Linked DNA regions of Drosophila melanogaster. The protein of the gene in region 1 interacts with the protein of each later gene in a pairwise test. Each region holds a gene or a part of one and is shown on either strand. Other genes may lie near its edges.

Region 1 (5,082 bases):
AGTGCTAATGAGCTTTCTGTTGCATAACGCCGTTGGTATTTTATCGTTTCACCCTTTTGGCCTTTTCCATCGCACCGAGTAATTAGTATGTATAGTGTTGTGCTGCGTGCGCTGGTTGTAGATACAGATACTTTCAGTAGCCAGCATATACTTTCTGTATCTACGCAAACGCTTTCGCAGCAGGTGAGCCTGCTTTTAGGCGCTCTGCGAGCCTGTTCCCATCGTGGAGCGTGCCAAATGTTTGGTTGTGTTCCAAGTCCCGCCACAATCTGCGCGTTAACGCCCCCTGCCACCAGCGGGGGGTTAATGGTGGCGGGCACAAGGACAAGGTTAAGGGTGCTCGCCAAGCGCGTTTGCAAAACGATAACGGGGTTGCGTTAGAACAAGCTCACCATGGCAAACTTTTAAAGTGCGTACAGTAAAAAAAAAAAAAGATGGGCTTAAGCCATTTTCATGTGCTATTATGCGTGTTATTATCTTTAAAAACATTTTCAATCAATAATTGTTTATTTTATTATATTAATATATTGGTATTTTTATGGAAATATGTAAAAAAGAAAAAAATAATTATTGCTTGAAAATTCTTTTTATAACAATCGAAGTGTGTACTTAAATATTTGTTAGTCTTTTTTAAGATTTTAATTTCTGCGCAAAACCTTTCCTGAGTATCTGGATGTACTTTTATAAATACCATGTGCCTGAATAAATTATAAAATGCGGAATGCATTTCACGTGCATATGTAAACATTTTAATGTTTGAGAGGTCGTAATAAAAATTCCTGAAATTTAACCATTTCTAATTATCTGACCCATTTATGGCTTTCGAGCAGTGTCATGTTTGTTTATTAAAACGGCCCAAAGCGTGAAAATGCTTATTTTTACCCACCAAAAGAGGCAATCCATTATGCTCAGTGGCAGCCGCATTTTCCGGCCAAACAACAAACGTGATCCATTGAACGTACCCACTCGCAGCTAGGCAAACAGTACTTCCCTCCTGGCCAAATGGAATTGGAAATGATAATGGAAATTCTACAATTTGAACAAGCATCGAGTGTGTACAAAGATATATCTTTAGATCCACGTACTTCCCGATTCCGTAGGTGGAAGGAGAGCGAATGCATTTGTTCGTCTGACTTTGTATCTACATATATAATCTATCTGTGCATACGGAAGTTCAGTAAAGATAAAGACACGTGGCCAACTATATAGTAAAAGTGCATTTTAATCGTCTTTTACCATGGTTTTCTGTTATAATAAGCAAATGTATTTTTTTGTCTTTACCTGTATATATCTACGCTATTAATAAAACTATAATAAGTAATATATTTGAAGTTATATATTCTGCAAAAGTATTAATTATCACTGAGTTTGTGGATATTACTATAAAGTTAGTTATAAAATTTTTCAAAAAGTTTAATACTTTCACATCAAAGTTATCAATCAAAGCTAATTACGGAATAGTCCTTCGACAATTCGAATCAATTGGAGATGCATAAATCAGCATTGCCTTGACTTAATGGAGAGGCAGATGCAAAATGTGTAAACCCATGAGATGGAGATGCGCCCCATAAGCTGGACTGTGCATCGAAAGTTGCATCCACATGCACATGCACACACGCACAGCGACATCCATGCCGCGTCGTTGAATGCAATTTCAAGCAGAACGATCCGAAATAAAAATCCAAAAATCTGAGCAACGTAGGCGCCTGCAATTCCAGTTTGGATTTTGCCGCCAAGAGTCAATAGCCTCCTATGGATATAGACTTCACCCCAATGTATGGTCGCTGGAGAGCGGCACCAGACCAGTTTCCCGAGGCGGCCCAAGACCAAACCGAAAGAGAGCCAGCAAGAGAATCCGGGGAACTGGGAGAGCGGCAAGTCCACATAGCAGAGCCCGGCGGAGGCCTTTTTAGTTGTTTGACGCGCCATTTGCTAGCCAACATTCGTTGCGTGCGGTTAAAGATACAAAGATACTCCCGGCGCACAAATAAGATACTCGCGAGTGGCACTGCGGAAACATCGATGAGCCAACCGATACATATCCAAAAATATCCATATATCTTAAACGAAACTCGTGTCATATCGCCCAGTTTACTGGCTAATTAGAGGGGCAAAGAAGGGCCAAAATAATACATTTTTTGGCCAGCAACATGTTTGATTGTTGATGCGCATGCGCCCTAAAGTATTCCATGCTACGTGGGTGGCCGACGTGTTAAAGGACAAAAAACGCAAGCCAAAGGACATTTCACAGACATTGACGCATTGCTCAACATTATCACATCGCCAAAGCTAAAGTGCAGTTCCAAGTGAGAAAAGCGGGCAGAAGTTAACGGATAATCGCCGAAGAATATTGAAATACATATCCCCCATCGTAACTGTGCAATCCTACCGAAGTTTACATAATCCCTTCGATATGTCCACCGCATCGTCGAGCAACTCCAGCGGCGAGGAGGCCAACAAAAAGTCCGGCTCCAACAACGAGGAGAGCTCCCACCTGCTGGAATCCGCCGAAAATGGAGCCAAGTACGGCTCCAGACAGCCGGTCAAAATCGTCAAAGCCAGCGATAATGGACGCACCAGCTCCACACCACATGTACGCAAAGATTCGCATGTTTTCATAGATAAGAGCACTGAGAAAAATAAGACATATATAAGTTTGAAATTTTGCAAATTATGATTAGTTGAAACTTATGTTTAAAGAAACAAACTATTTCTACTACGCTCAGAGCCTAAAGACTTAATCGTTAATTATTTCTTGTGCTCTGTATTTATGTTTTTTTCTCAGTGCTTGCTTAACTTTAGTTAATTAACGCTGTCCAGCTGGTTAGCCAAGTTATAATGCATCTTTTGATGTTGACCTTGGCTGAGAGACCACGGCGAAAGTTCAATTAACGCAGTGTGAAAAACGAGACAGGAAATAAAGTTGCTTAAGCAGCAAATATACAAATGCCCTCAATATAAAATAATCAAGTTGTGATGCCTTTCCAATGTAAGGGCATTAAAAATCTGCGTTGTAGCTCCAAATATTTGCTCAAAATAGGCAAACAATCTTTGTTGTTGCAGAAGTAAATGAGGGGCTGAAAGCAGAAAGATGTTGCCGCTAAAAGATACGAGATATAAATAGTTTACCAGGCAATTATCAGGCTGAAATGAGTATTTTTCCAATTCCAAAAGCTATCTCTATCAAGCGAGAGCACAAACAAAGAAAATAGAGTATAATTTGCCTTTTCTGAAACCGCACGAGTTCACATACCTTATCCGCTTAACATACATACATGTATTTTAAGCGATAAACAATGAAAACACAATAATGTTTTTCAGTGGACTTTATCTTAAATCCAGTACGTTTTGCTACATTCTGGTAGCTAAGCGTTCATTGATGGATCGCACAGCTTATCAAACTAATGAGTTCCGTTCCAAAAACAATGTGGAAACTTTCTATTTTTATTTGGTTTTATGTTGAACATGGTCACAATAGGCGAACAAATGCTATGAAATACAAATCATTACCTATAGAAAATTAATTTTGCCTTGCAAAGAATAATGTGATAAGTGAGCACTTCAAAAATAGGGGCGTATTCCCGATTCCCCGAAAGTAGAAACTAGAAATAACAATGGTCACAATACGGTTTTGTTTTGGAATAACCGAAACCATACGTACATATATGAATTTTATCAGACAAATTCAATTGAAACTCGTTCCACTGAATTCCCAAAATGAGTCGACAATTTTGTGGGTGTTTATTTTAGTACAAAGAACACACGCATTAAATAAATTTGAATTTGAATACACTGAATTCCCAAAATGAGTCAACAATTTTGTGGGTGTTTATTTTAGTACAAAGAACACACGCATTAAATAAATGCGACACCCCTTTAACTCTAAAAAGAAATGCACTTATATAGACACTGGAATGATTTTATGACTACCATTTGAATACGTTTTAAAATGCGACCCACAAAATTATAAAAAACTCGGCCAGTTCGATAATGAAGTGTGGCACATTTTTTGAATATCAATGAGTTGCCCTAAATGGTTCGCTATGATGGTTATAAAGCCATCACCGTTTTCACTTTCATTGTCATCGTAATACACACCAAATTAAGCCATTATAAAACAACTTTGAATAGTTTTGAGTATAATATTGAAAGTAGCACGATATACTCAAGGCCTTAGAGGAATTATTCAAAAAAAGATGGGTGCACATTTATTAAGGTATTTTAAAAACCAAATAATCTTAATAATAAGCACTGTTTCCATAAATACGCGTAAAATGTAGTAGGAATTTTTCGAACTATTTTTATGCAAATTTTATGAGCAATAGCCCGGGATTATTGTGCATATATTAACCTAGACCACTCAATAATTATGGAGTATTTAAGCGGAATTGGCTTATGCTCTACAGTTAACCAGTTTAGAGGAATGCCAAAAGGCATATTAAATTACCATTCTTACTTATGACGCGCACTGTTGCGCCTGCCACTGACATTGAAACGAACTTGAACCTCCGCCCATTTGGCCAGTATCATCAACGGGTTTGCGGGGGCGGTGGGACTTAGCACCCGAAAGTGGGGGACTTTAACTGGCAGTAATACTAATTTTAGATACAGAACGACAGGAAGGCACTCAGACAGGCAATGGATTGACCACATTAGCCGCAGACGGAACTCAAACAAACCAAGGCACAGAATCGTGGACAGATATCGATTTCAGACGCGAGATTTGAACGCTTCGCTTAGTCGCGACTGGCAATCTGGAGGTGTGTCACCCAGTCGACCAGAGCAAAGTGACAGTTAATATGTGGGCGTATATGTACATATACGCCTGTGCTGTTGCCACATGGCCTTCTCCTTTTTCCAGCTGCAAATCTTGGCGTGCATTTTCACGGAAGTGATTTGTTCTCTGCTCCTTCGTTTCGCGTGGGTCGCCAGATTGGCAATGGAACTTTGAGTGGGATTCGCCAGTGGGCGGCGACACATGAGATGAGGCAAGTTATAGGCGACGAAGAAATAGCCATAAATTACCCATATGCGCGAAATGGCTTTTACGATGGTCTCTTAGACATGCAATATGCAATAAGC
Region 2 (4,912 bases), on another chromosome or scaffold:
AAATATCTCTTAATTGAATGGCAAGCATGGCAATTGATGGCCCAGCATTCCAGAGGTCACTGTGTTATGCAAACTGAGCAATAAAACTAAATGGGAAAGTGTAAACAGATTAAACTTGTTTCGCCAGTTTATCTGAGCAGAATTTTTGGGGGCTCGTCAATGGGAAAAGTGCATTCTGTTGAAAAGTTATCTGAAAGATTAGATATAAATGATGAAATATTTTGACGGCATGCGTTTTATACTTATTAAGGTTAAACTTCAGACGCCTGACTCATAACAAACGAAACAAAGAACAAACTACAACAATGTTTCGCCTAGAGCCTTTAAAAATATTTAAGAAGCCATTTTCCATGCTTCTACTGAACTGACCCAAACAACACGAGTGTAACCTCTTTGTAAAATGATCTAGTACTACGCCACAGTTAAGAACAAATTAAGTCCTTTCCTGAGCAGTGCATTGTTTGTTTACTCGTCTGTCGTCGTGCACAGTATGTGTGTATGTATGTTTATATATTTTTGGCTGTGTGTTCAGCTGTCTCCGTTATAAATACACCAAGTTGCACGGCGTGAGCAATTGATCTACTCTTATCACAAGACAATTTGGCACGGCCACCGGCAGCTGGGAACACAAATAACAATTTGTTTATTTTAGACAATATTACTTCGTGGGGATTTCTGCGCATGCACGTTGTTTCGATATAAATGTAAAAAAAAGTGCGACCAACCGGCGAGACGAAAGAAAACCGACTGACATTGAGAGGCCAAGAAATAAGCAGTGGTGACGTAAAGAAAGATAATCCCGCTTCCGTCACAGGACGGATAAAAAAGCATGGTAAAAAAAAACAGTCTTACCATTTGGCACTCAATTAGAGGGTGACCCCAAAAGTATGCTACCATATGCTGCAACTATACTTTTTTAAATCTACTTCGGCAGCGCAATAAATAAATGATGACCCAATGGGTAATCTTATTATTATTGTTGTCTAGAGTCTAGCACATTATGTCAGCATCAACCATTTTGGACCCTTGCGGTGAAATCATTGACAGTAGCTTTTGATGCCCTGGTTTGGATATCCATGTGACCGCACAATATAAAAGCGGCACATGACGCCAAAATAAGTGACGACACTACTAACGGCAAACGAAGGCGAAACACAAGTTGATCGAATAGAATGTACCCTAGCTGAAATGAAAGTTAATCATATATTTTAGAAGCATTGGAACATCATAGAGTATAGAAGTAAGTCTCTTATACTCAAGAAATTCATTATTTTAAGATCAACCAATTCTTTTAACCAATTTATAGCTCATTATTTAATAGATTTTTTTAGGGCCTTCCTTTTTTGGAATAGGTCACATCATTAAGTGCCTTGCATACTAATTGTACACCTTGCATACAGTAGTAAATAGTAAATATTTATTCGCATAGCGATATGAAAATTATCATGCCCATAGAAAAAGCATTTTAGCAATAAAAGCTTGCTTATGGTTCTGATGACTAAGCAGCAGCTTTTGCCAACCTGAGTCATAGACCTCTTAAGCAAAACTAGGTGACAAAACTACCTTAGTTATACCGAAGCTTACATGCCCTTACCACGAGGTGAAAGTCCAGGGAACAAAAAGTTAAAAAGGAAATTACAATTATCTAATATTGTGCCCATGTACAAAATAGTTATATGTACATTTGTAAGTAAAGAAATTTTTTTTAAAGCTATGCCATTATGCTAGAAATTATCAGCCTTTAATTAAGATTTACATTTAAGAAAAATAATTGCCTTTAAAATAATTAAAGATAAGCCTTAGCATGTGCAGTATACCGCTATGTGAATAAGTTAGCTATTCGAGCTGGTACAGTTCGAATACTTTCTATATGGCCAACGATCTCCCACTTTGCAAGTGAGAGCGCCAAAGCTCTTGGAGCTTTTACTCTCTCACCGTCTCGGTTTTTTAGCATTGCTTACCTCGCCGGCATTTGGGCTCCATTGGGGCAGTTTGAATCAGAATCTCAGTAAGCGAACATCGTTGATTGAAACAGCAATCATGCCAATCGGTGAGTTTCCCAGTGGGTGTGGGTGGAGTGCCCTGAGCAGTTGGATAATGGAATGGATAATTGGGTGAATTTAAAGATAGGGAAATGTGCGGCGGAATTTTTGGCCCACGACCAAAATAGCATTGTGTCGTCCAATTCCTAGAATCGAAACATCCCATTCTTTATCTATGCTGGGTTTTTACCAGTGAAAAATACAAGCGACTTTCACCTTGTGATCGTCCAGATTCAATTAACGGCAATATGCTATACATATTGGACTGCCTTTATTTGGCCTAATTTATGACCCATCGAATTGATTCTCGACCAAAGGTGTCCGAAATTGTTCACCATATGCGATGAGTCACTGGTCTTCGCCTTGAACTCCGACAATAATCAATAGGAATTCAGCAGGGTTGACCCTAGGGAGGTCAGACGAAAGATGCACCTCCAATGATGTCATGCGAAATAATGCTGCTTGAGAAACCATTCGTGTAATCTATTCAAAGTGAATAGCACAAACCTCGCATATATCTGGGCAAATGTTTGTCGCTCGAGTGGCAGTAGAGCCGGCTCAGAGCTCAAAACTCGAAATTAAGCTTGAGTGGAATTAGCTAGAACAATTTGTTGCGAAGAACTGATGGCGATCTAAATGACATCATGCGAATGGTGCTAATAAGCAAGCGAAAACAAAAACAGACGCTAAACATGCTGATATATGTATGTTTATATGTACGTAGAAACCTAACAAACATAAAAATAGCTACGAATTCTTTCCAGTTCAAGTATTTTTTATGACAACATTCTCATGTTTGAGGTTGTTAATTCAAACCTCAAAACTTTCCCACCTTTCAAAGTAGTAGTGGGTACAGTTGGCTCAGAAAAACGTAGCCGAGTGTACAGTTGCCTCTGAGAATTTGTACTAATATGCCATCTCATTTGCAGAAGTCAACACCCCCGATAAGTTGGAGTACCAATTCTTCCCCGCCAGCGGTGGAGTTTTTACCTTCAAGGTGCGTTCCCCCAAGGATGCTCATTTGGCACTCACACCCGCGCCCGAGGAGAACGGTCCCATTTTCGAGATCTTTCTGGGAGGATGGGAGAACACCAAGTCGGTGATCCGCAAGGACCGCCAGAAGCCCGAAGTCGCTGAGGTGCCCACTCCGGGCATCCTAGATGCCGGAGAGTTCCGTGGCTTCTGGGTGCGCTGGTACGACAATGTCATCACCGTTGGCCGCGAAGGAGACGCCGCCGCCTTCCTTTCCTACGATGCTGGTAGCCTGTTCCCGGTCAACTTCGTCGGCATCTGCACGGGATGGGGTGCCAGCGGCACCTGGCTGATTGATGGTGAGTTTACACTCTGTTCCACGCCTTTTCTATCAAACGGAAAGCACAGGTGTTTACCCTCTCTGATTAGTTTACCCATCGTAATGATCTAAGTTAGCTATTGTTCTACAGCTGCTCAATGGCATCTATTGTCTAGTCAGCTGCTTCAGTTTGAATATCGAGTATTACTATACCCGCTACTCGTAGAGTTGGTACTATTGAGTACTGATCAATAACACTTAATTGCTCTCCAAGACTATATCCTTGCTATAAATATGTATTTGCCTATTATATATACATATATGTATAAGATTTGCTAATGATTTCATGAATTTCTAACAAATGCCACTATTTCCTTGCAGAGCCCGCTCCATCGGCTCCCGTCATGGGCTTCGCCGCGCCCACAGGAAGCGGACCAGGATGCTGGGTGCCCGCCGCCAACGGTGAGGTGCCACCCAACGCCCTCGAGGGAGGATTCGACAGCAGCGAGCAGCTGTACATCGCCCGTGCCCGCCATGAGGGCGACCTCATTCCCGGCAAGCTGCATCCCTCCCACGGAGTGACCTACGTAGCCTGGGGAGGTGGTGAGCACGGCCACGCCGAATACGAGGTGCTGTGCGCCGGCGGCGGCCAGTGGTTGCCCGTGGATGCCGGAAACATCCCGCCCAACGCCCTGCCTGCCGGAGAGACCGCCGAGGGCGAACCACTGTTCATCGGCCGTGCCACCCACGACGGAACTATCACTGTGGGCAAGGTGCAGCCCTCCCACGGATGCTGCTACATTCCGTACGGCGGCGAGGAGCTGGCCTACAAGGAGTTCGAAATCTATGTGACCAACTAAGCCACGGATCGAATGTCCAACGCACTGAAACAAAACGTTTTAAATCAGTTAATCTGAGCGCTTTACAGTTCAACTGGTCGCAGAAATTTTATTTTATTTATATGTGCATTTCTACTCAAAACTGTTAAAGAATCTCTATATTATGTCGAAAAGTTTATTACATTGTTCAACGAAATTGGTTAATAAACAATAAATATGTTTAAGAAAATAACATATCTGAAATAGGCACTTATTTGCATTCATTAAGCTTGGAAATAAATATAAAATAAGCTGAATAGCTGCTTTAATTTTTCAAAAAAGTGGTGTGTTAAGATTAGTTGGATTTTGGTTTTAGTGAATCTAACAGTTCTATCGCAATCATTAATCACCTTTTAATCCATTTGTACTCAATGAAATTAGTATCAAACATTCTTTTTTTTTAATAAAATCATGACTGAAATGAAATGACTGAAATCTATAGATTAGTTTAAGCAGGCAATTGAAAATAATTTACTCCCACTCAATGAAAATCTATTCCTAATCTCATTATCAGTGAACCCATAAAACACTCATACAAAGTTAGTTGAAATGTTGGCAGTACAAGGAACATATTGCTATATATATATATATTTATACCAAAACATGTTTTCTTTTATTCATTTTTAAAATGAATGAAACATATCATATTGGCCTATTTACATTTAAATTAAGGGTATAACTGAGTCGGTTTAGTCTATCAA

The links.
Region 2: the proteins of nebu (region 1) and CG10527 interact in a two-hybrid assay, tested with the Drosophila melanogaster proteins (one large-scale study listed by BioGRID).

Annotation. Positions count from the first base shown.
Region 1 is NT_037436.4:12,829,394-12,834,475, reverse strand, and holds the start of nebu (nebulosa), read left to right. Parts: upstream 1-1,924; 5' UTR 1,925-2,413; coding exon 2,414-2,593; intron 2,594-5,082.
Region 2 is NT_033778.4:21,069,863-21,074,774, reverse strand, and holds CG10527 (uncharacterized protein), read left to right. Parts: upstream 1-1,985; 5' UTR 1,986-2,040; coding exon 2,041-2,050; intron 2,051-2,879; exon of another isoform or gene 2,880-2,971; coding exon 2,972-3,373; exon of another isoform or gene 3,374-3,714; coding exon 3,715-4,193; 3' UTR 4,194-4,407; downstream 4,408-4,912.